6 linked regions of the Nothobranchius furzeri genome follow. The protein of the gene in region 2 purifies or fractionates together with the protein of the main gene of each other region. This does not show direct contact. Links are inferred from orthologs where the notes say so. Each region holds a gene or a part of one and is shown on either strand. Other genes may lie near its edges.

Region 1 (4,095 bases), on a different chromosome or scaffold from region 2:
CATCCTTAAAAAATGACAGAAATATGGTGTTCTGTTAGTAAACTTACATTTATGAATAAAGAATTTAGCTAAGAGTATTAACATATTTATCATAAAAAACATTTATCATTCTTCATGGGGAACTTAAAGAAACAGAATAAAACATTTTCCCATCGTAAAGAAAACTCCCTTAAAATATGGACAGTAACAAACCTGCTAAATTCCTTCCAGAATCTTTGTGTAAAAGAACAGCACCAAAAAAGATGTGTCACAGTTTCTGGATGATCCCCACAGAAAGTACAATTAGTATTTATGTCCCTTAGTTTTGAGTTTTAACCACAGTGACACAAGTGAACGTGAACTTTCTGTTGTGCAAATGTCGTCCTCCTGTGGCTGTTTGGTGGCACTACATCTGGTTAGCAATGGCTTCACAAATTTTTCCATTAGTTGCTAAAAAATGAAGAAAACGGAACATCTGTGATATGAAAGGAATCAAAATAAAAAACATGACTCAGTAAAAGTATAGATATGCAGCTCATGTTTGAAAGGTTTTGTGTTTTATGACTCAAGTTGATTAAATTTGGTTGTTTTAAAATATCACAAATCAATTTGTATATTTAAATATATACATATTAAACATAGATAAGCAGGTTTTCTTAAGGATTGAAAAAAAATTGTGTTCTAATGAAAAAGACCCAGTTCATCTACCTGGTGTGAAAATGATGACATTGACGGTGTATCTTTCTTTTTTTTAGATCACAGATGCTCGAACAAAAATTATGATTTTATTCAATTACTTCGATAGAAGGAATTTTCATTTAAATAAAATGTAGCAATTAACACATATTAATTATGACCAATAAGATGTGATATTCCATACAAATATGAAATATCAATCTGATTGATCTTTGAATGTTTAATCAGAAGATTCTAGGGTCCTTTGCTTATTCAGGGACCAAAAACACACCTCGTATAAATTCAGAGTCAGTGTATAGTTTATAAAATGAATTTTATTATTGCATTCATTATTAGGGGAATATTTCATATAAACTCCCATAAACAGAATATGTTGCCACCAAGTCAAATTACCGATTACAAATAACTGTATATTAAAAGTTTATTTAGACAAAAAAAAGTTAAAAACAACTGCATTTGTTGTTATTTTTGTGAATTTGGTTGACTTTTATTTTTATTTAATAACTTAAACATTTACTGCTACATCAAAATGCATTACTTATTTTTGAAACAAAAATGTGTATCCTTTAAAAATAAAACGTCTGTAAAAGGATGAAAGAGATGGCCATAGAGGTACATTTCTTTCCGGTTGCGTCATGGACAAATTTACATTTGTCCACATGGGGGCGGTAATGAGACCGTATTCCATCGTATTAGGCGGAAGCAGAACTGCGTCAGTGCAGGTTGGTCATCACGCTTTCAACATGGCGGTGAATCTTTCAGACCTCTCCATGCCTCAGTTAGAAGGATTAAAAACCCAACTGGATCAGGTATTATCATCAGTAACATGCTGTATTGGAAGTATTTGTATTTATGTAGCTAAATGCACGAGGTATTGTTAAATAGGAGACCGATGCGGGCTAAACACCCCCGTTAGCGTTCTGTGCCGTAGACAACCGGTGGTGTTGCTAACGGTGTTTCTGTCCCGGGTTGAATCTTTTTGTACATTTTGATGTTTCTTTCAGGAGGTTGAGTTCTTGACGTCTTCGATAAGTCAGTTGAAAGTTGTCCAGGCCAAGTATGTTGACGCGAAAGACAGCTTGAATGTACTGAACCAAAACAATAAAGGTGCGTTTTTAAATCACAATCTGACACAAACTGTTGGCTCCCGAAATGTTTATCCATACCTCTCACAAGAACTACTACTATAAAAGAATGACATTTAAAACAATCGGTACGATTATGATTTTTCATTGTGGTCTGGTGATATGTAGAGTTTAAAAAGTAATTCAATTCAGTTTAATAATACTTTATTAATCCCAGAGGGAAATTAGAGTTTCAGTACACACAATTCTGAGATCAGACATACATACATACATACATGACAAGAATTGGTCGCACAAGAGGGTTTATATGAGGAGATATGCACACAGACTTCAGACATTACACAACATAAGTGTCCACTAGGTGGGGAGGTAGGGTTGGGACTTTCCTCAGGTGCGTGCAGCCGCATGGGGGACAGAGGAGGGACATTAATGGGTTGGAGAGCACAGTGACTCCTAGAAATGGTTCCTTCACTGTGCCTTCACCTGTCAGTCCCGCCCAGGCTGGGAGAGGGAGAAAGAGTTGCCTATTTATTTGGATTGTGACCCATTTCTTTTCTCACAAACAGGAAAGGAATTGCTGGTGCCTCTTACAAGCTCTGTATCCTTTTTAAATTATCCAACATTCATTTTATTTAACCACTGGCATAAAATACATATATGAAACATCCAGGTGAAAGGAGCTGTAAGGTTTTGTCCATCGTTGTGTTATTTACTATCTTCCATCTACTTTCGGTTTCTTTTTTCTAACTTGAAACAGTTCTTCAGCAACACGTTGTTTAACATCTTTACACATTAAAATCATACATTTATTCACACAACTTAGCATCTTAGTGAAGGTGGATTCTTTTAGCATGTTTGTCCTTTACAGTTTTCTCTTCAGATGTATGTCCCTGGAACATTAAGTGATGTGGAACATGTCCTAGTTGACGTGGGGACAGGATATTATGTTGAAAAGGTAATATATATTTAGATATATATTATAAATAAATAAAACAGATTTTAATTAAGAAGAAGCTATTTAAACATGCGTGTTTGCTTCTTTAGAACGTGGAGGACTCAAAAGCTTTCTTTAAGCGCAAAATAGACTTTCTCACAAAGCAGATGGAGAAAATTCAGCCGGCTCTTCAGGAAAAGCATGCTGTGAAACAAGGTAAGGTTAATTGTGTGAATTTGACATTTAAAATCTTTTTTTTTCAGCATTTATAGATGTTCTGCAATCTGTTAGCTCTTTGATTATGTATTGGGAATTAATTGCTGTCAACTACTAACATTTTAATTGATCTCAATAGCTGTAAACCGACTGAGTTATATAGTCAGTTTTGTGTTTGCTATTGTTTATTAGCTGTGGTGTCAGTTGAATCAGAATGTTAAACAGTTTGAGACACATGTACGTTGATTATGTTTTATGAATTCTGTGAAGATCTGATTGTTTAAGAATTTGCGAACAGATGTGAAAACACATGTTTGATAAAAGATAAAAGGGTCAGTGTGTAGTTTTTAATCGTTAATCTCTGGAAATATCCTTCAAAATTAAGCTATTTATAAAACCAGATAACGTATATAATTTCAGATACAAACGTAACTTTAGGCATACATATTTTAGAACAACATTAAAGTCATTTTGTATTTCTGTTACGGGTGTAAGAGTTTGGAATAAGCTAAGTGGGGATCTAAAGCAAAGTCCCTCATTGCATACGTTTAAAGATAAGTATAAAACAATTATACTAACTAATCACATGGAGGAGGAGGAAAAGTTGTAAGGGTGCTGCATTTGATTGTAATTGTCTATGAACTGGGAGCTGTGAATATGGGGGGGGGGGGGGGGGGGAAACATAAAAAATGTAAATTTTGCTTGTGTGATTGAGGATAAAACATGTTATAAGAAAATGGCTATGACAGTGTAGGGAAGAGAATTTTTTTGTTTTTATCTTCCTTGAAATTTGATTTTGGGAGGGGGGGGGGGGGTGATTATACAAGCTACCAGAGCTTTTTTCCCTTCCTATTGAACATGTTTCTATATATATATATATATATATATATGCATATACATATGTATGGGTTCCTTTTTGAATACTTTAATTTGTCTATTGATTTACATGTTCAATAAAGAAAGAAATGAAAAAATGTTGACAATGACAAAGTAAATGATACCCAGTAGTTGATTAATATTGGTGGCTTCTCAACATATAACCATATAAATCTGGGGCCGGGCCTAAGTCTCTGGGCGACACCATATTAGATGCCATGTTTCCTTCTACGGGAGCCCTTAAGGACAAAATGCAATTACTGATTTGTAATAAACGATTACAAAATTTTCACCATTCATAAACATTGT
Region 2 (4,087 bases):
TGGTGCTGATCAAATCCTCAGGAGGAGTGCCTAGCACACTCAAAATCAGCTGGAGCTGGTGCACATAATGTTTCCCAGGAAAAAGCTGTTTACGGCCCAACATTTCAGCGAAGATGCAGCCCACAGACCACATGTCAATGGCCAAACTGTAATGGTTCAAAGACAGAAGCAGCTCAGGAGCACGGTACCATCGGGTCGCCACGTACTCCGTCATGAAGGAGTGAGACTCCTCTGGGTGTGAACTCAGACCCCTCGCCATGCCAAAGTCACCAATTTTCAGCTCACAGTTTTCATTCACCAACAGGTTGGAGGGTTTGAGGTCGCGGTGGATGACATTGGCAGAGTGCACGTATTTGAGGCCACGGAGGAGCTGGTACAGGAAGTAACGCGTGTGCTCAGGGGTTAGAGTCTGCGCAGAGTGAATGATCTGGTGTAGGTCACTCTCCATGAGGTCCAACACCACATACCTGCACACACAGAGATGACTTAGACAAGCAGCTGACCAAATACTAAGGATCTTGTGTTTGCAACAGTGTAATGTTCAGATATGTGCAGAGTTGGCATCACAAAAACAATAAAGTACATTACATACACGGACTTAAAGGCAGAGTGGGGAAGGTTCGGCTGTAGGATGTCTTTGATGGCAATAATGTTGTCATGTTTGAAATGCTTGAGAATCTTCAGCTCTCTTAATGTTCGTTTAGCATTTGTTACCACTTCAAAAGCATTGGAGATCTTCTTTATCGCCACCTGCTTGCCTGTGGAGTGCACATGTAGAACATTTCATCGTGACTTATTTCAAACAGAGGACATTTTCCAAACTCTTTAAAGACATCTTCCTTACCGTTGTCCCTTCTTCTGGCCGATGAAACGACGCCATAAGCACCAGTACCAATGGTTTCTATGATATCGTACTCCTCCCCAACATCGAACTTCACATCTAGAGAGTGCGCTTTAAGCAAAGCCAGGTTTGTTGCTGCTGTGCTGGTGTCTGAGGTGCTGCCTGCTGCCTCGGCCTCACGCTGGTTCTGGCTCTCTCTGCTGTTTTCGGTGGCCATTTTTTCAGGCGACATGGTGCTTTTGGCATCTCCACAGCGCTCAGTGGACATGTTTCTGTAGTACCAAAGTGAGTCCGTAAGTTATATTGTTTCCCATGTCCTTCTCTGAATATCTGTCAAATATTATTTTATTATTACATAAATGATTATGAAGTCAATGTTGTGATTGATAAGCGTTTTAAGTTTTTACATGTTTATAAAGACAAAGTTTCTCTGCTTATTTAAAAAAGGTATTAAACACTCTTACCAACTGATGAAATGGGCCAGACGTAAACCATGAAAACATAGACTGTTGGTGAACCTTAATAATATGTTCTGAAGTTATTATGTTTACTTAGTAAATTGTTTTGCTAAATCAAAGAAAAAAATGTTTGTGGTAACATTTAAAAATTATTTGAGCAGAGGTACACCTGGGATTATTGAATAGGTAAAAATGTTCATTTAACTGTCTATGAAGAAATAAGACGTAACCTCAGATGTCATTTTAAAAAAATTAATGGAATCACTAAAAAAGCATTAAGAGTTTGCACAAATTTTAGACAACTCTGGATCTTATTTTATTATTTTCATTCATTTTTCTGTCTGTTTTTGAAATTTAATTCAAAATGATCTTCTGTTAAGGTTTAATACACAGCTGTTAACTGTAATTAATGGCATCTATGCCATTGACTGCCATAATGCATTATTCAGTCATATTTTTTTTCTGGGAATAAACATAAACGTAGAGTTTCAAGTCTTTTCATTTTCTTCTGTACTAATCCGAACTTGGAAAAAATCCCATACTTTGCCAGCCTGTGAAAAAGTTACACATAGAGTGTGTGTGTGTGTGTGTGTGTGTGTGTGTGTGTGTATTCCAACAGCACGGAGACATTAATCATCTTAAAAATATTATTTTATCTTTATTTTATTGCCTTTTCATTAATTAATTTATGTAGTATATGAGATAGCTCGTACGTGCTCCTGGTTTAAATGCACTGCTCAAGAAAATAAAGTGAACGCATAAACTGCACAATGTAATTCCAAGTCAATCACACTTCTGTGAAACCAAATTGTCCACTTAGGAAGCAACAGTCAGTTTCACCTGACAAGGCACTGATGCTATGGACTGGCCCGCCCGTTTCCCTGAACTGAGTCTAATTGAGCACATCTGGAACATCATCTCGCTCCATCCACCAACACCACGTTGCCACACACTGTCCAGAAGTTGGTGGATGCTTTAGTCCAGATCTCGGAGGAGATCCCTCATGAGATTAATAACGATACTTCATTCATTCAGATCTAGGGTGTCTTATTTTTGTGTTTCCTTTATTTTTAGCAGTGCATTGTTCCTCGTTTACTTCACACCTTGAGGCCTGGATTGAACTCTTTTAGACCAAACCTGTAGCTTTTAGTGTTTAGAGAAGCCTGATGACGAACCCAACTGAAGCGGATGATTACAGCATTTAAACATTGACGTTACATGGTAACAAAGAATAACTTACTTGACAGGAGCAGCCTAACCCACAGGGGCGTCGGCTAGTTAACGTTACGTGAGGCTCTAGGTTTCTCTTGAGCCGTAAAACCATAACTTCATCCACATGAAAACAAAACTTCACACTTCGAAACCCCGTTTACAAATTGCGTACAATGCGTCCAAGTCGTGAGCAAAGCCCCTACGGTCCACTCTTTTTTAAATCGCCAACCTGCACGATTATACAGTTGTTTTGTCTGCAGCTTCCTCAATCACTTCCATGTTTTAGTTGAGTGCCAAGCGGCGGACCAATTAAAGGAGAGGAGGACCAGAAAACTAACCAATAGGAATAGAGAACGTCTAAAGAGGGCGGGACTTTACATTGGACACTAAGGGCTCTGTGGTATTTATTTAATTTTGGGTGGCGACGCTGCAATTTGCCAGATTCCGATCGAGCAAAAAATACCAGCCAGTGTTATACAAACAATTTGTATATGGAGCAATCAAGGGACTGTAGCAAATTCTAAATGGTAAAATAATAAAATATTAGTCAAAAGACTTCTAAAAAGGAGGAATTATCTTTCGGCAGAAAATTAATAAAAGTTTGTTTTAAATAAGATCTTACTGAACCCCCCTTCTAAATAGAATTAAAGCACAAATTACATTAGTTAATTTTTTTTTTTTCAGAAAAGATGACATTTTTAAAATAATAGCTTTTAGCCTGTTGAGGCACGTTTTTGATGTGAGCTTACGTATGATACCAATTTTAAATACTGTTTTAATTTGCTTTCATGGTTTGTGTACTTTGTACTTTTTGAACAAAGCAACACAATTTGTCCAGAACCGGTAAATGTGTCGTATTCAATTATAACAACACGATTTAACAGAGGTGTGGACTCGAGTCACACGACTTGGACTTGAGTCAGACTCGAGTGTTTATTTTAATGACTTCTGACTTGATAAAATCTATAAAGACTTACGACTTGACTTAGACTTGAACTCCAATGACTTGCGATATGAATCGACTTGCATCTGTTGACTTGATGACGACTTGAGCGTTTTTCATATTTTAGCACAAAAGGGACATGACATGAACAAAAATCTTACATCATTCTTCGTTCTGGGTTTGATCTTGTTCTGCTAAATGCAGCAGCACTTTGTTTGTAATCTATTTCAGTTGCACTTTTTACTTGTTTCAGCAAATAAATGGATTTTAAAGAAGCTTTATTTCTGGAATTTATTTATTATCATTGTCATTAACCCTCCCACTGTCCTAATGGGTGGCCCCGCCAGGAACGTTGACCATTGAGCAGGGTTGATGGTTTATATGACCTCACCCCTGCTGCCACATGGACCTCAAGGGATAAACCGTCATTCCTGCTCAATGGTCAACTTTCCTGGCGGGGTCACCCATTAGGACAGTAGGAGGGTTCAATTGAAGTTGGACAGATGACTTGATTATGACTTGAAAATTCAAAGTTAAGGACTTGGACTTGACTTGGACTTCCATATCATTGACTTTGGACTCGACTTGGACTTGGTTGTCTTTGACTTGACTGGAAAGACTTGTAACTTACTT
Region 3 (3,902 bases), on a different chromosome or scaffold from region 2:
TTATAACAATATGTGGTAATAACAAAAAAACAAAAATAAATAAATAAAATAAAATAAAACTTTAAATGTAATGAAAAGTCCATTGTTTTAGGATGTGGAATAGTTTTTGAGTTGGCAATGTTTTTATACTCCTAAAATTGTTTTTAAAGTATTATAAATGCATCATAATCATTCAAATATAACACAGGTTTATAAATAACTATCAAAAATACCCTTAAACCAGACTGAATAAATATATTATTTTGCAAAGCAAACGTTTGGTCTAGTTCACTAATAAGATATAAACAGCACGTATACGTCGCATTTCAGTCAACTTTGAAGACATATTGACAATAATATTGTGTGTTTCTCAATTACAACTCTTTTCGTAATCATTCTGATTATTATGGCAAAGTTTTACATTAATAAATTTAAGTTCAGGTGCACTAAACCATGCATTGTTGCTTTTGAAAACAAATTCAAACAACACATTTAATGTGTTCAATCTTCTGAAAACCCCAGAGCAAATAAAAATCTAGAGGTCTGTATGAGGTTAATCCGCTTTCAGCAGTCCTTTACAGCGTTTGAATTATAAAAATAAAAAAATGTCGATAAATGCATTTAAGTGTATTTTTGTATTAAAAATTTACATGTATTTCTTCATTTGTTTTTAATTATTGATTTTAATTTATGTACGGTGTGCTTCTGATTATTGTCTAACATGAAAACTTTTGTTATTTTTGTTCATTTTTGTTTTGCTTTTGATGTTACCTATAGGCTGCTGTAAAGCACATTAAGTTACCTTTGTATAGGAAATGTGCTATACAAATAAAGCTGTCTTGTCTTGTCTTGGCGGTGTGCAAATTAATTAATTTAATGATTAATATGTCCTTTGGCTGAAATAAAGAATATTTGAAAGAGAAAAAACACGTCTAAAACTCCACGATGCAGAAACTGCTTTAATAAATAAGCTAGATTCGGAAAATGGGCTGCATGGTGGCGCAGTTGTTAGCACTGTTGCCTCGCAGCACGAAGGTTGCAGGTTCGAAACTCGGCTGCGGCCTTTCTGCGTGTTGCGTGTTCTCCCCATTCATGCGTGGGTTTCCTCCGGGTACTCCTGTTTCCCCCACAGATCAAAACATGCCCCATACGTTATAAATTGCAAGTCACTTTGGATAAAAGCCTCTGCCAAATAAATAAACATAAACATAAAATAAAAAAGCGTATGCACGAAAAAACAAAAACAATACAAAGTTGATGGAAGTTAATAGAAATTATTCCTTCAAATGCCATTTTATTTTATGTTGAATTAAGTTGTATTTTGTTTGCGGTTCTGCTTCTGAGTTTTTACATGAAAAAGTAAAAGATGGTTGCAAAGTAATTTAGATGTTTTACAAGCCGCATTTGCACTCAGGCAATCTCATTAGATAGCTGCAGGGTCCTAATTGGCAACACCCTTCCAAGATGGCAGCGAACGGTAGCAGCACGGGTAGCAAGTCCAGCAGCAGCGCCGGCGGAAAACAGTCCGGACTTTCAGCTGAACAGGTACTCTCAATTATATAAAAAGGTTTCATTTGTCGTTACAATTATTTCTGTTGTTGTTTGGCTCAGTTTGGTAAAGCAGAACTAAAAGTATAGCCCCTAGCTAGTCTAAGCTAACATTAGCATTCCTGTCGCGATCATCTGGCTCAAAACCCAAATTTGGACATCGGGAACCGTTAGGAGTCTAATAAGGACATTATGAGAGTTTACATCAAACTCTTACTTCTAACAATTTTTACGTTAGTCTATGTATTTACGGTTTTGAAATAATGTGTTTGGTTTGGTGTGACTAAGCATAAAGCTATTTTTGTCCACCTAACCCTAATAAATTATTACTCAGACCATATTAAACAAATCACTGCTGTAATGTCTGTAATACAGTGCACTGTAGTCCGTAATATATCCTTTAACAACAATAATGGCAACATTAGAGTCGAGCAATACCTTCAAATATGTGTCAAAACCTTTATTGATCAGGTTTTACAAAAATAATAATAAAATGTAAATATTGCCATATTGTATCATAACCTTTTTGTTATTTTCTTACATATAAAGTCTATGACTCTGCGTAAATGGTGATTAAAACCATCAAATAAACAAAGTTTATGTCCACTACTTCTAAAAAGTTGTAGATTAAATCTGATAATAAAATTAAACCTTTACCATTAATGAGTTGCTGCATTATGTACATTTATTTAATAATCTTTTAAACAAAATTGTAATATGCTAATTACCAGTTATGACTTTAAGAGTTTGGTTTCAGTAGACAACTAAGGAGTAGCAGCATCTGTTTTTTATTTATTTATTATACTTAATAAAAAAATGATCAAATTCCATTTGTTTTCAGGTGGTAGCAACATTTCAGAGGATGCGTCAGGAGCAGCGTAGTATGGCTTCGAAAGCTGCTGAGCTGGAGATGGATGTCAACGAGCACAGGTTGGTGGAGCATCATCTACATTTATGTTCTAGACACAAATGTTTCACAAGATTTTGTAGGGGAAACAATCCAAAAGACAGACCGTTTAATACCTTTGCTATTTCTTTTCATATTTAGTTTAGTAATTGAGACCCTAAAGGAAGTGGATCCTTCCAGGAAATGCTTTCGTCTGGTTGGAGGAGTGTTGGTGGAAAGGACAGTAAAAGAAGTTCTACCAGCCTTAGAAAACAACAAAGAAAAGGTAATGTTATTTATTTCGGTCACAGGAATGATCAGGAGAATAAACTGAGACATTTTAAATCACTTATTTAACACCAAAATAACAATAAGTGTACATCGAGTTAATCTACATAATTTCACAAGAAAGAGTTTTGTTTATAGGTTTTGAAGTCAAAAATAAACGTTTAGGTGTCAACTGCAGGATGTTTCGTTTGTCTGATTTCTCATCCATCTTCCTCTGTTCTAATAGATTTCCAAAATAATCGAGACCATCAACACACAGATGCAGGCAAAAGGACAGGAGCTCACAGAGTACAGAGAACGTTACAATATCCGGCTGGTTGGAGAGGGTGAAGGAGAGGCGCAGGGCCAGTCGGCAGCAAACTCGCAAGACAATGAAGGAGGAGGATCCAAAAGTGGAGCAGGAGTTCTGGTCTCATAATGCTTTGAGGATGGACAGGGACAGCAGTGCCCTGTTATTTCTGCAGCACTGAAGAAGAAATGAAAACTAGCTCAAGTCAAGGAATTTAGGTGGAAAACTGAACTTTTCATAATGTTCCTTTTAGTTTTCTTGTTTAACTGTAATTTCCTGGAAGTTGTAATAATCATGGTCATCTGCTTCTCTGTTCAGTTGTTTATGTCCTCATTAAGGTCATTTGCCTTGCAGATGTTTTTTAAAATGCTGTCATACATTCAGCAAATAAATTAAAATGCCATAAAAAGGATTTTGAAGTTGCTGACATAAGTAAAAACATTTATCTTTCTCATCTAGCATATAAATCCTGTTGCACTGGGATGAAATTTTTAAAGACATTAAAAAAAAGTTAATGTCAGAATTAGATCCTTTTGCATTGTCATTAAGCATACACAATCGAAATTTATTGGTATGTCAGCTTTGAAAACGCACAAAGCTTTAAAAATGATGTACATTTTTGCGAAAAGGATGTAAAGGACTGAAAAACAACAAATAATTAAACGTGACTCATGAACAGGAGCCAGTACACAAAAGGAAAAATGGAGAAAAGGAAGAGGTTTCTCATGCTCACCAGATTATGTCATTGCGGCAGAGCCTGCCTCAACTCGACAGTACAGTGAGCTCTCACTCGGTTTTTACACTGCACACACTTCCAAAGCTTTACGGAAATAGTGCTTATGAACGCTTTCAAAGTAAAAGCCAGTCTCTGAAACGTGTTTTCAGACTTATTTCAAACGAACCATTCTAGAA
Region 4 (4,281 bases), on a different chromosome or scaffold from region 2:
CCTCCCTCTTTCCACAAGGACGTCCTCGTGCTCCCGCGCAGGGTGCCACCAACACTGCCACACTAATATCCGCGATAAACATCTGTTTAAGTACCGAAAGAGGTTATCTTTGCTTTCTGAATGTCCATATTGCTAGATATGCCGAGTTTTAGGGCGAAATCCTGGGGAATTTTGTCTAGAAATGCAATTACCTAACCGTGCGCGATCCCGCGGTGGCTAATCATTTTTTGGCAGCGAGTCAATTTATGGCACAACACCGGCTCGGGTTTCTCCTCCTCCTCCCTCTTTTCTTCTCCAACCTGTCGCTGGGCTGAGGCTCCATCACTTCCTAAATTGATTTTACTTGAACCTTCACTACCAAACAACTGTGAGATTTTAACACATGTGCCAGCATCAGCCTGAAGGGCCAGTTTCTTTTTTAGTCGAATTTTCTCCGCTCCTCCTTTCCGTTTTTTGTTCTCCATTTTGTAAAGCTCGTCTGTCTGTTTACTGAGATTCACAAACAACTGGCGGGTGCATCAGACCTCTGGCTATTGGTCCAGCCCAGAGTGTATTATTACCAATTGGCCAATCCACCAACTTTTACGAGGCGTCGCGTGGGGTGGCGCGGACAAGTTGTCCGCAACAACTAGAAGCCAGGAAAAAAAACAAAACAAAAAAAAAACAGACACCGGCCCATAAAAGATGAAAGGGTCGGCCCAGCGGGCAGTTGCCCGCTATGCCCTATGGTCAGTCCAGCGCTGCCTGGGAGTCTGGGGACTGAATCCTGATTGGATCATTTTTTTATATCAGCCACAGATCTCTCTGAAGAACTCAGCATTGACGGCTTCAGCAACGCTGTGCCACTCCGTGGATTTTCTCTTATTTGTTTTGCAAAAGTACTTCCTTACATTTCTCCACCTCACCCACAGGTACCTCAACTTCTGCTTGTGTGTAATAGCGCTTTCTTGATCTGCCTTGATCTACGGTCGCCATGTCATTGGCGGAGCGCTGCAACAGCCGGCTTATGTATACGCATGGGATCCACAAGGCACTTTGCATTGACTATTTATGGCAGTAAGTGGGCGTGGTGAGGGCGGGATGTGACTAAAAAGCAGCTGAGAACCTATCTAGATAGTCTCTGATTTATGAAGTTGCAATTGCGTGCAGCTGTGTGTACTCCATGTTTGATAGATCACAAACCTACTTGGCATAAGTACTTTTTTTTTGCTGAGCTTAAGTACGGTTTTAGTAAGGATTCTACACAATGTTTGATAAATGAGACCCCTGGCAGCTTGAAGGTTCTTAGCTGGTCCTAGAACTGCACTCTTCCAGACTGAGTTGTCAGATGTTTGTCCAGGAATTTGTTGGAACCACTTCTCTAGTGTGGGGGTCTCTTCAGAGCACTGTATCATTGTATCATCATTGATCTGTGTCATTATTTGGTTAATAATACTTAAAAAAGACCACTCTGTAAGTATTTGTATTCAATCTTTGTCACATGCGCACAGCATGTAATGCTGAAGTGCTACCGCCAGGTGGTGGTGTCGCAGCGGCTCTCTATTGAGCGCTGCTTTCTGACAACAGCAGAAGAAGTCAAGATGGCAGCTACCGTCATGAAGAGTCCTGTTGTAAGTTCGTTTTTAAAGGAATTTTACGTTTTCCTGTAATTAAATTCATGCGCCGCTTTAGTCGCAGATATGAATGGAAACAGCAGAGGAGTATTTGATGTCAGAAGTCACAGTTTTTGGGGTTTATTTTAACCATTCTCACCACCCGTTCATGTGAGTGAGTGGAGCTAATGTAGCTAGCACAGAGGCTACAACCACCCTGCCGGGCAGCGGCTGAAGCTGACGACGGTTTATCGGTTTGTCACTAACCAGCTCTGTGGGAGTCGACCGGACCTCAGACCCGGTGCGCTTGTGAAATGTTTAGTTATTTACAATTAACGTCATCTTCCGGTTTGCAGGCTGTTGAAGACGTGGTTGTCACGTTCGAAGATCAGCAGAAAATCAACAAATTCGCCAGAAACACGAGTCGGATGACGGAGCTCAAAAATGAAATCGAATCAAAGAAGGTGAGTTTGGTGTTTTCTGCTGAAGCATCCTCGTTTCCTGTAACCTTAACCCGATGCTGGCTTATTTCAGGTTTTTATCCAGCCTGGGTAATGTTGAGTAGATTTCTTACATCTGTCAGGAACTGATCGCAGTGTTTGTTGTTTCTGGCTGGCTAAAGGAAGATCAACATGACTTTTTAAAGAGTAAACTCAGACCTCCATCAGATGGTGGCTTTGTGGCTCAGAGGCACACTGGTAGCTCTAACCTCCAGAACGTCAGTGCCTACATGGAACAGTTGCCACTTATGCAGATCAACACCGGTGGGGTTTGACTTCGGCAGTTTCCTCTAAAATGCCAAAGTCATACACGCAAGTTGATGTAGAACCCTGTTATTTAATGTGTAAGGAGTCTGATGTGTCCTGGAAGAGCTACTGGAGCAGTCAGTAATCTATGAACTGCCCTCACCGATTGCTTTGTGTGTGGTGTCCTCTTTCAGAGAACGCTGCAGAACCTTCAGGATGCCAGCGACGACCTGATGCTGTTAGACGACGACACTCTGTTGATCCCCTACCAGATAGGTGGTGTCTTCATCAGCCACTCCCAGGAAGAAACACAAGAGATGCTAGAAGCTGCTAAAGTGAGTGGATCCACGTAACTCAGTAACTCGTTTTGCTCTTCTCTTAAAACATCAGAGAGAAAACCGAATTCAAGTCGCTGTGCAGCTCGAAGGTGTCGAAACAAACCCGGAACTATCGAGGTTAGAGCTGAGGAAAATAATCGATGCATCGGGATGCGGACATAAACGATTCTGCATCGTAGAAGAGTACGCCATCATCGATTATAGTGGAATGTAGTTTTGTTTTTTTAACAGCGGCACCAGCGCAGCGTCCAAATCTGTCAGAGTGAGCGTCCTCCACATTTACCAAGTGGTTCCGCCTTAATGTGGTTCTGCAGGGCTGAGCGCTTGAGTTCTAACCTGAGACCGAACCGGAACCGAATCAGCCCGACTAGTTCTGTTGGATTTGGGCCCTGAATTACGTCAATTGAGTGGGTTGTCACACGGCGCGCTCCGCTCGCACAGCAACTGAGAGAGGGAGAGAGAGGATCGGAGGACGCTCCTCCAAACCGATGCTCCAAACACGCGTTATTATTTTCATAATTTAATTATTATTTCTCCTGGAAGCGCTCAGTCAGACCGAGTGTTGTGATGCTGGGAGATCCGGTCTTGGGGAGGGGGCGGGGTCAATGACGGTGGCTGCAGCGTGATCGTCTTTTATTTAGGGACACGGAGAAATTAAGAGGAGAGAGATAGAAGATAGAAGTTCTTGTTCCACTTTATTCTTTTGTGTCATGATGATAATTTGATGTTAAATTCAGCTTAAAGAGAAGCTGGGAGGAAGCTTTGGTTCATTTTAAGTTACAGGAGGTCTTGTCTCCCATCTGCTCCTCCAGAGACAGCATGGACATGAGGGTCACATGGTGAGGGTCCCACAGGACAGGTTAGTGGAAAGGTTAGTTAGCTGGTTAGTGAAGGAGCTCCATCAGCTGGGTAATTTAATCCTAATCCAGCCCACAGCCTTCTGCTGGTGTTATTATCAGAAAGAATAAAACACACATCTTAAATATTATTGGAAGTGTAGAATTTGTTTTATGTTTTATTATTTTCTGCATCAAACAGAACTTGATTCATTCTCCAACATTTCAGAAATGAACCACTGGGTTCAAATGAAATTAAGTCAAACATTTCATTTGGTGTTATTTCTGACACCCTTCAACTGTGGCATAAATATCGGACTCTAGAGCTGCTCAGAGACATTAAACACTCATATATGAACCCATTATGGATTTTATTATTACGTTATGTTTCCTGTAGGTTTTCAGTACTTTTTTAGATTTTGTGAGTTTTTGCAAAGCGTGTTCTTCTCAGCCTGAGGCGTGGTGTTGAACGAGGAAACAGATGTTTTACTTTGTTAAATCTTCTTAAATGTTTAAATGTTTTGTCCTAACCTGTTGTGAATGGAGAGATTTTGAGGGACAGCAGGTTGTGTCGATTACGCTTTTGATAAAAAAAACATAAAACTAAAAAGCAATTATCTGACATCTTCCATTTATCGATGAAAACAAACTAATATGAAATAATCGTGATGCGGGATGCAGCTATCGAATATTTTTGTAATCGAGTACTCTATCGAATCTTTTATCGATTAATCGAGTACTCTAATAAATTACTCTTTTGTGTTTTTAA
Region 5 (4,033 bases), on a different chromosome or scaffold from region 2:
CAAATTAGTGTTTTTCAACCTAAATAAGACAAAGAACCGAGAGATGTTAGTCTCGTCGAACAGAGCTCTGGTGGTTGTCCATCCCTAACTAGTGTATCTGCCGAACTGCCTTATGGGAGTTGAGAGTGTCCCTGTGGAGGGATGTTCCACAGAGCTGAAATCGAACCGGGTCACAAACAGATCCGGTACCGGAGGCTGTAAAGGGAATCTACTCACTTGTTTTTCAGCTCCGAGGACGCGTCCATGTCCTTGAACTCTCCAGCGATGTGAACGATCCCGTAGCAGGTCATCACAAACGATAATAATGTCTGCAGAACGATCTGTGGTGGGAGCAAGACGACGGTGAAGACAAATAAAAAGCAGGGCTCTCTCTGAAGACCAGAGATGGGTTACTCACGTCGATAGGCAGCGTTTCGTGCTCCTTCTCTGTGAGCCGCATGTATGACCGATCTGATGGGAGAGTTGGGATTTAATCAGAGTAATATCGACAATAACTCACAGAATACTCTTAATCCAAACATTAAACGACGGCAGTCACACAGAAGCGAGCAGGTACAGATTAAAGTCTTCCTCCGTTGGAGGCTCTAGCGGAGCTAGCTAAGCTGCTGTGGCCACAGGCCCCGCGGTCCTTCACTCGGTGGAGACTCAGTCCAACCAGAACTAACCAACACAGGAAAACATCGGTCTAACATCTTGGCGCTGAAACTCACGCTGTGCTGCCGAGAACGCTGCGTGGGCCAAGGCAAAGAGTCCGATGCCGACAACACCTTTCCAAAACGAAGAAGCCATCTCGAAGCAGGGCTCAGAGGGACTGTGGGCACCGTCGTAAAACAGTCGTAAACTGACGCAACTGTCACTGCGTCAAAACCAAAACCTACCTGCCAAATGATTATTTATGTTCGTTAAATATTATTATTCGCAGCCTGATATCTGTAAAATCATTTTATTTATGTGTTTTTGCCCTCTATTTAGATTTTTGTGAGCTGAAAATACCCAAAGAAAGCTGTCAGACGTCAAATGGTGCATTCGAATCACATCCTAAATTACATGTTTCTAACCAAACTCATTGATCTCCAACCAATATATTTGATCGAAAATTGAAGATTAGATGTATAACTAGAAAGAGCTTTTCATGGTTTAGTGAGCGTTTGCGTCAAAATAAGTCCAGATACACATAATTTTATTCTGACCTCGATTTAAAACCAGAATATCCGAGTGTGCCCTGAATCTTCCACTACATCCGGTCTCTGCGTAGCTTCTTCCTGTTAGCTAGCGCTGTTCTCTCATGTTGCCTTGCTAAGCGCTCTGTTACAATAATTAAACTTTTACAGTTGTGTAAGATAAAATAAGCAAACATGGCAGACGCCATTCAGAAGAAATTAAAAGCGGAAGTAGAAAAGTATGCACAAATGCAGAAAGGTGGGTTTTCTTTATGTGCTATCACAAGTTTTAGAGGGCATGTAGCCGCTATGTGTGCATGAAGTAACGTTAGCTTTTTGGCCATAAGAATAGTTTTTTAACCCACCTGCGTGTTTTTTCAGATGTTAGCAAGAACATGTCAGCCAGACAGAAACTGGAGACGCAGCTGACAGAGAACAACATTGTTAAAGAGGTAACTTCAGTCCTGTATGGCTGTATATCACAACGGTTTGTGTGTAATAATCCAGACATGACTCGCCTGTGTTTCCAGGAGCTGGATCTGCTCGACAGCTCAAACACCATCTATAAACTTATCGGTCCTGTTTTAGTGAAACAAGATCTGGATGAGGCCAAAGCCACCGTGGCTAAAAGACTGGAGTACATCAACGGGGAAGTGTAAGTCAAGCTGCTGCTTTACTGTTCTACAGCTCACCTGCACACCAATGTCTGTGTCACAGTGGTGAAAGATGGTTAGATTTGATCTTGTTTTTACAATTTCAGGTGGACGAAGCCGGTTAAACCCTGATTTTACTCAGACTCAGGCAGGAATCTTAATGGAAACAAACATAAAATGTAATTCTGAGCAATGCCAGACGCAGAGATGAGATCATCAAATTAATGCGAATATTAAAAAAACAGTTGGCCCTTATCATTTATTGCCATTGACAGCTAAAGACGTCATTTTAAATCCAGTGGCTCGCTGCAATTGACAACTAAAGCTGTCAGTTGCATTGTTTTAACGGGGTGGGCGTGGGATCGAGCCCCCGCACCATGAGAGTAAACATGACGTCTCTAAAGCTGATCTTAGTCCGTGTGTCACACGTCACCTGATCAGGAAGGAGAAAATCCATGAATTGGGATATTGTTTTGGGACGCTGCTGTGAAAAAAGCGAGGCGCTAACCAGAAAAGCGTCTGCAGCTCACACTTGGACAACAGATTGTGAAAGAATGGTTAACGCTAGAAACACGGTGATTCTTCCTGATGTAAAAAGTGAGTCTACTCTTTCTTTCGATAGTTTTGGCGTTTGCATGATCATAGAGCACAACGTTCTGACTCTTCAAAATCAGTAAAAACGCTCAAAAACGCTGGCAGCCAGGGGATTTCTGATCAGAAAACAGCGCAGTGAGTGAGTTAAACAGGATCCACCATAGTTCCTTATTTTCTTGTGGGTTGAAGCTGCTGACAGTCGCTTTTAAAACCATTTATTTAACCAGGAAGTCTCATTTTTAGTTGAACATGAAGGGACTTTCTTAAATTAGCGTGTTTGACATAACCGAATCCTTCACTAAGCGATTCCGGGTTCTAGCATGGCGGTGGTTAGGATGATACGTTTCACCTCTTGAGTGTGCACTGACGGAAGCATATTTTTTGCGTGTCACTTTTCCACTCAAAACGCAGCACTGAAGAGATGAAGTTGGAGAGGAACGGAAAACTTCATCCACAAAGACCAGCAGTTTGTTTTACTGGAGAATTAGACTGGAAAACCGGCATTCCCAGTTAGAACCAGAGAGGAATGTTTCAGTAAATCTGAGTAAATACCTGCTGCTGGAATTAAATGAATCAAATACAAAATCAGAAAATACAAAAAAAAACAATCGAATCCAGAATTATAATAGTTTTACTAATTTTGCTTGTTATTCTCATCATTACATATTTCCAGAGATTGTGAGTTAATTAAAATTAAAAAACACAAATTCCATATTTCTGACTGTGAGGATTATGTATTTTGATACTCGACACCCAATGTGTCACATATTAAAATATGCTGACTAATCCCAGCTGTCAGCCGAACGAAGGATTAATTGTATTGGACACAGAGACAATCGCATATTTAAACCTGGAAACAAACAAACAAAAAAATTTGAAAAATACAAAAGCAATGAGACAAATGAAAAACCTGCTAAACTTTGGAGAAGCCATGGCGCTCACACCGCCTTCACACTGGCTCAGCAGGAGCAGGAACACCTCCCGTTCAGGTTCAGTTATCCTGGTTATTCCTCCTCTCCTCCTAATCCTCAACCTCCATCTTTGAGAGTGGAGCTTGAAAAATCAGAAAAATGTGACGGCTGGATCGAATCAACAACAAAAATAATTTTCCTACAAGGCATTCTGTTTCGGACACACAATCATTTATGTTGAAACGTACCTTAAAGGGATACGATGTAAAGTTTTCATATTTTTAATCATTTTCTTGAGTAAGTATGTGCTAGAATGACCCTTAAAGGAGTCATCACCCGTTACTACCGTGGATATCTACATCACATTATATTATTTAGGCCATGAAAGTCATTTGTATTGGAAAATTAATTAAAAAAGTGCTTTTCTGACCCTTTTTTGTAAAGGACAGGTTTTCTCACAAGAGCACACGCGATATTTCGGCTGTGCTGGGCGTGTCATTTGGAACCGTAGGGTGTCCATGAAAGATCCCGCCTTTCTCGCCTCTGATTGGCTAGAAGGACTCAACTACGATTGGCTATTTTATTTAGCAGCAAACTGGCTTCCCGGCCAGTGAAAATTCATTAGGAAGACATTATATGGATTTTTTTCAAGTGGAAAGGTGAAAACTTCAGGTGATGACTCCTTCAGCAGGGTTACAGAAATGTAACTCAGACC
Region 6 (3,982 bases), on a different chromosome or scaffold from region 2:
TTTAATGTTTAGAGCAGCAGGAACTCCGAGAGGCTGCAGGCGCATCAGTGAGTTTGCACCGCTGCGCAGGGGGAGAGGGCTGAAGCAGAAACTACCGTTGTTAAAAGAAATGTGTTTAACTTTGAAAATGTGGGCGCAATTCTAATTGTCAAAAACTCCAGCGAACCATTAGTTCATTTTGCTCAAATAGAAATTGAGGCCTGCCTCTAATTCTGGTCCTCCTTCCAATAAAGGCCTGGAGCTTGATGAGCTTGAGTCAAATACAGACCCGGGCCTGTATTAGAGGATTTACGGTAGCTTATTTCACCCATCCCTATGTTGTCATTCTAGAGGAACTGGAGAAGACTCACTTCCAGTATGGAGCTGGTTTACAGAACTTCACCCACCTTTTTCTTCTGCATGTGTCGTAGGATTTCTAGCGTCTGTGTGATCTGTGGAATCTGGTTTTTCAACCTATTAAATAAGAATGATTTTAGTTAAATAAATAAGCATCCAGCTTTCCTACTTTACAGATCTACCAGGTGCACACATATCAATTCATGCACGTATTAATGTAACCCGAATAACTCGTAGTGTTTGTATTTCTGTTTTACCGGAGTTTCTTCTGGGACAGGTTGAGCTCCATGTACTTATATTTCTGGTACTGCTCATCCAGCTTCCTCAGAGCAGAGTCTGCCGTCTCGTTGCCAGGCAGCTTCATAAAAGAGTCGACATCCTCCTGGAAAACAGCAAACAGGGATTAAAAAACAGAAAGGCCTATATAACTACTCCACAAATGAGACTTTCAATACCACAAAGTCAAATGTCTAAAGTCTCAGTGAGATGTGTTTGCAGCGCCGTCTGGTGGACAAAATATGAAATTACACTTTTCTGAATTGGCCTTTGTGTTTTTAACATGGAAGCACAAATAAGGTCTTACCATTTCCTAAAATACTTTTCCGTTTGTTATACCTATAAGTTCAAAGTCACAATAAATGAAACCATAAAACAGGTTAGTGAGAATTAAAACCCTAAATTAGTGTCAGATTAAACAAATAAATGTAACAAACCAAAAAAATTACAAACATTTTTATAAATACAAATATAATATAATCTTTTGTTTAAAATAAATATGATCTTTTAGCTTTTCTGTTAAAAATGAGAAAAAATGTGTGATTTAACAGTTAAGTACTTTTCACAGAAAGTTTTGATTGAACAGTTTAAATTTGATTTGACAGCATCAGAAGTAAATCGCCTGGGCACTGGTAAAAAAAAAAGTTACTGTATTCTATAAAATGGTTTGATGCACAGATAATAAAAGAAAAAATCTATTTATCTCATTACATTAATGCATTTGTTGTGTTAAAGACAAAGACAAAAGAAAATGAGAATTTCTATACTCATGTAAGGTGCTGTAATCTGAGAATGTGTCCAGGTGTAAACCTTCCTCCTGCCATGAAGAAAAATCACTGAAGTAATTAATAAATTACCCAAATTGTTAATATGATGCCGTTTATCCACTCATCGTAACCAAAGAACATCACCTACAAATCTGGTAGCATTACAAGTATCTATAATTTGATTTTTAACCCTTTTAGTCTGTCATTGGTATTTTTCATTCATTTACACATTAAACATAATGGTATTCTGAACTTTTGATCTAATTGTGACATTATTGTTCACTCCAATGCGTGTTATTTTCCCTTCATATTAGGGCTGAAAATGAACTCAATAATCAAGCCTCAATATATTGAGGTTAAGAAATGTACAATTATTATTGAAGTGCAGTTTGGTTCTTGACACTGGATAGGCCATTGTATTTGTTGTTTTGGAGACGGGGTCTACGTTATTGTTTTTGGTGCAATATTTTCTAAAAGAGTGAAAGCACTTTTATATTTATTTATTTTTTGTTTGTTTTATTTATTTAGAAGTTCAGGGTCTGGACATTCCCATGTTAAATAAAGGTTTAATTGTTGCATTTTAATGGGTGTCCTTGCATTATTATGATATATTAACATTACATAAGTGGTTATTTTGGTCTTGATAATGTCAACAATAATATCATTTATCGTCAATAATTTGTTGGACAATATATCGTCCAACAAATTCTGTTATCGTCCCAGGCCTACTTTCTATCTTTATTTTTCTGTTTTAATTTAAATGAGAATCGAATCAAGATAAATTGGCCAGATTATACAAAAATCTCACATTTTTAATACCATCTCAAAACATTAGCAAAGTTAATATCATTAGCAGATTAAAGTGGAAATCTTTCAATGTAATATTTAAAAAAATCGCTGAGCTGTGCTCGTTAATGCTCTCTATGACAGGGCACGTCAGACAAGATGCTAGTACTGTTCTGAGTAATGGACAAGCTAGTTAGCTAGCTAGCTAACTAAAGACACAGTTGACTCTGGCAGGTAAGTCCAGCTGAAGGACCTCAGAAACACCAGGTGAGCTGAATATTACAGGCAGACAGTGATGTCCATAGATGGAAGCGAGCAGCCGCCCAACATGCACACACAGCAGGACACTCTGTTAGCTCACCTGCTAACTTAGCCTCCTAGCTGAGTCAGAATTGCGCCGCTGACAAACCGGTCACACCAAATATACATTACATCCGTTACAAACATGTAACACCGTCAGAAGCGTCTGGTTATACGCACCACAAACACTGCTTCGGGGATACCGAGGTGCTTTTTTTTGTTCGCCTGTGAAGCATTGCTGTTGTCTATGGTCGCCGTCATGTTGGAGAGGCTTCTTTCGTCCTGACGCACGCGCATGCGTACAAGAAGTCGGAGTGGTAAAGGGGAAGCTCTGCTGCCTCTACTGGGGACCCACTGAGACTACAACATTTTCTGTCCTTTTTTTTTTTACCTCCACCAAGGAGGTTATGTTTTTTACAGTTATGCAAAAGGAAATCCGCTTGGATCTTATTTTGAAATTTGCCAGATGCTTTACACAATTAGCCACACTATACTCTGTGTTTGATTCCCTGTCTTGCCAGGTTTGAACTACTGATCTTGATGCATACTGGAAGCATAGTACATAAATGTAGACTTGGCATGACACTACACTTCTGGGACGCATCTGAAATGTACCGGTGTGTGCCCAGTGGAGACAAAGTGGAGACAAAAAGAGACTATGATGGTGGCTATTAACTGTATGTTGCCCTCACGCACTGAGTAGAAAGCCAGAGTTAGTGCCTTGTTCACACTTGATAAAAGAGATAGGCAGATTAATTGTGTTTCTTCTGCAGGACTGATGGCATTGCTGGTAAATGAGCTGAACTAAAAAGGTAGAGGTCTCAAGTAACTGGTTCAAAACAACAGTAGAACTCAGGGCTATGTTTACAGTGAAAGTAAGAGCATTCCCATACCAACAACGTGAAGGGAACTCAAGGGACTGCAACAGCTGTGTACCCATAAGAAAATCACTAATCAGTGAGGCTAACTGGTAAAAAAGGCTTTACTTTGCTAGGGAGCATGAAGATTGGACTAGTGGAAGGTCATGTGGTCTGATGAGTCCAGATGGACCCTGTTCTAGTGATGGGTTCATCAGGGTAAGAAGAGAGGCGGATGAAATAATGCACCCATCATGCCTAGTGCCTACTGTACAAGCCTGTGGGGGCAGTGCTATGATCTGGGGTTGCTGCAGTTGGTCAGGTCTAGGTTCAGCAACAGGATGTGCTCCAAGAATGAGGTCAGATGACTACCTAAATATACTGAATGACCAGGTTATTCGAACTTCCCTGATGGAACGAGCATATTCCAAAATGATAATACCAGGATTCATCAGATAGTGAAGGAGTAGTTCACACATCCGGAAACAGCAGGAAGGAAAATATGTAAAAGAACCCTTATTCATAATCAAAAATAAAAACTTGAATCATTAAAAATTTTCTCTGATCGGCAGCAGACACAGGCCTGCTGTGTGAGGCTAAGTAGCTCAGAACCAGACTGGTAGGGAGGAAGAGAGCATCTGGTCTGATAGGAGAAACAAT

The links.
Region 1: the proteins of mapk7 (region 2) and pfdn5 purify together in Homo sapiens (affinity purification with mass spectrometry; 3 studies listed by BioGRID and IntAct, with this or other methods). This does not show direct contact. The link is inferred for Nothobranchius furzeri from reciprocal best matches to the Homo sapiens genes MAPK7 and PFDN5.
Region 3: the proteins of mapk7 (region 2) and pfdn2 purify together in Homo sapiens (affinity purification with mass spectrometry; 3 studies listed by BioGRID and IntAct, with this or other methods). This does not show direct contact. The link is inferred for Nothobranchius furzeri from reciprocal best matches to the Homo sapiens genes MAPK7 and PFDN2.
Region 4: the proteins of mapk7 (region 2) and pfdn4 purify together in Homo sapiens (affinity purification with mass spectrometry; 3 studies listed by BioGRID and IntAct, with this or other methods). This does not show direct contact. The link is inferred for Nothobranchius furzeri from reciprocal best matches to the Homo sapiens genes MAPK7 and PFDN4.
Region 5: the proteins of mapk7 (region 2) and pfdn6 purify together in Homo sapiens (affinity purification with mass spectrometry; 3 studies listed by BioGRID and IntAct, with this or other methods). This does not show direct contact. The link is inferred for Nothobranchius furzeri from reciprocal best matches to the Homo sapiens genes MAPK7 and PFDN6.
Region 6: the proteins of mapk7 (region 2) and vbp1 purify together in Homo sapiens (affinity purification with mass spectrometry; 3 studies listed by BioGRID and IntAct, with this or other methods). This does not show direct contact. The link is inferred for Nothobranchius furzeri from reciprocal best matches to the Homo sapiens genes MAPK7 and VBP1.

What each region holds. Positions count from the first base shown.
Region 1 is NC_091743.1:50,185,884-50,189,978, reverse strand, and holds the start of pfdn5 (prefoldin subunit 5), read left to right. Parts: upstream 1-1,295; 5' UTR 1,296-1,310; coding exon 1,311-1,484; intron 1,485-1,679; coding exon 1,680-1,782; intron 1,783-2,326; coding exon 2,327-2,358; intron 2,359-2,640; coding exon 2,641-2,715; intron 2,716-2,804; coding exon 2,805-2,910; intron 2,911-4,095. UniProt on the Homo sapiens protein: Binds specifically to cytosolic chaperonin (c-CPN) and transfers target proteins to it. Binds to nascent polypeptide chain and promotes folding in an environment in which there are many competing pathways for nonnative proteins.
Region 2 is NC_091756.1:34,357,320-34,361,406, forward strand, and holds the start of mapk7 (mitogen-activated protein kinase 7), read right to left. Parts: upstream 2,801-4,087; 5' UTR 2,540-2,800; intron 1,114-2,539; 5' UTR 1,110-1,113; coding exon 845-1,109; intron 774-844; coding exon of another isoform or gene 759-773; coding exon 593-758; intron 468-592; coding exon 1-467. UniProt on the Homo sapiens protein: Plays a role in various cellular processes such as proliferation, differentiation and cell survival. The upstream activator of MAPK7 is the MAPK kinase MAP2K5.
Region 3 is NC_091742.1:74,820,983-74,824,884, forward strand, and holds pfdn2 (prefoldin subunit 2), read left to right. Parts: upstream 1-1,221; 5' UTR 1,222-1,443; coding exon 1,444-1,524; intron 1,525-2,368; coding exon 2,369-2,457; intron 2,458-2,575; coding exon 2,576-2,699; intron 2,700-2,927; coding exon 2,928-3,119; 3' UTR 3,120-3,402; downstream 3,403-3,902. UniProt on the Homo sapiens protein: Binds specifically to cytosolic chaperonin (c-CPN) and transfers target proteins to it. Binds to nascent polypeptide chain and promotes folding in an environment in which there are many competing pathways for nonnative proteins.
Region 4 is NC_091755.1:40,025,428-40,029,708, reverse strand, and holds the start of pfdn4 (prefoldin subunit 4), read left to right. Parts: upstream 1-1,481; 5' UTR 1,482-1,496; coding exon 1,497-1,610; intron 1,611-1,948; coding exon 1,949-2,056; intron 2,057-2,532; coding exon 2,533-2,673; intron 2,674-4,281. UniProt on the Homo sapiens protein: Binds specifically to cytosolic chaperonin (c-CPN) and transfers target proteins to it. Binds to nascent polypeptide chain and promotes folding in an environment in which there are many competing pathways for nonnative proteins.
Region 5 is NC_091741.1:28,885,127-28,889,159, reverse strand, and holds the start of pfdn6 (prefoldin subunit 6), read left to right. Parts: upstream 1-1,233; 5' UTR 1,234-1,355; coding exon 1,356-1,419; intron 1,420-1,541; coding exon 1,542-1,612; intron 1,613-1,690; coding exon 1,691-1,815; intron 1,816-4,033. Other genes in the region: mmgt1 (ER membrane protein complex subunit 5), read right to left, coding at 217-320, 398-450, 711-789. UniProt on the Homo sapiens protein: Binds specifically to cytosolic chaperonin (c-CPN) and transfers target proteins to it. Binds to nascent polypeptide chain and promotes folding in an environment in which there are many competing pathways for nonnative proteins.
Region 6 is NC_091742.1:80,080,558-80,084,539, forward strand, and holds the start of vbp1 (prefoldin subunit 3), read right to left. Parts: upstream 2,801-3,982; 5' UTR 2,763-2,800; coding exon 2,646-2,762; exon of another isoform or gene 2,527-2,645; intron 719-2,526; coding exon 594-718; intron 454-593; coding exon 387-453; intron 1-386. UniProt on the Homo sapiens protein: Binds specifically to cytosolic chaperonin (c-CPN) and transfers target proteins to it. Binds to nascent polypeptide chain and promotes folding in an environment in which there are many competing pathways for nonnative proteins.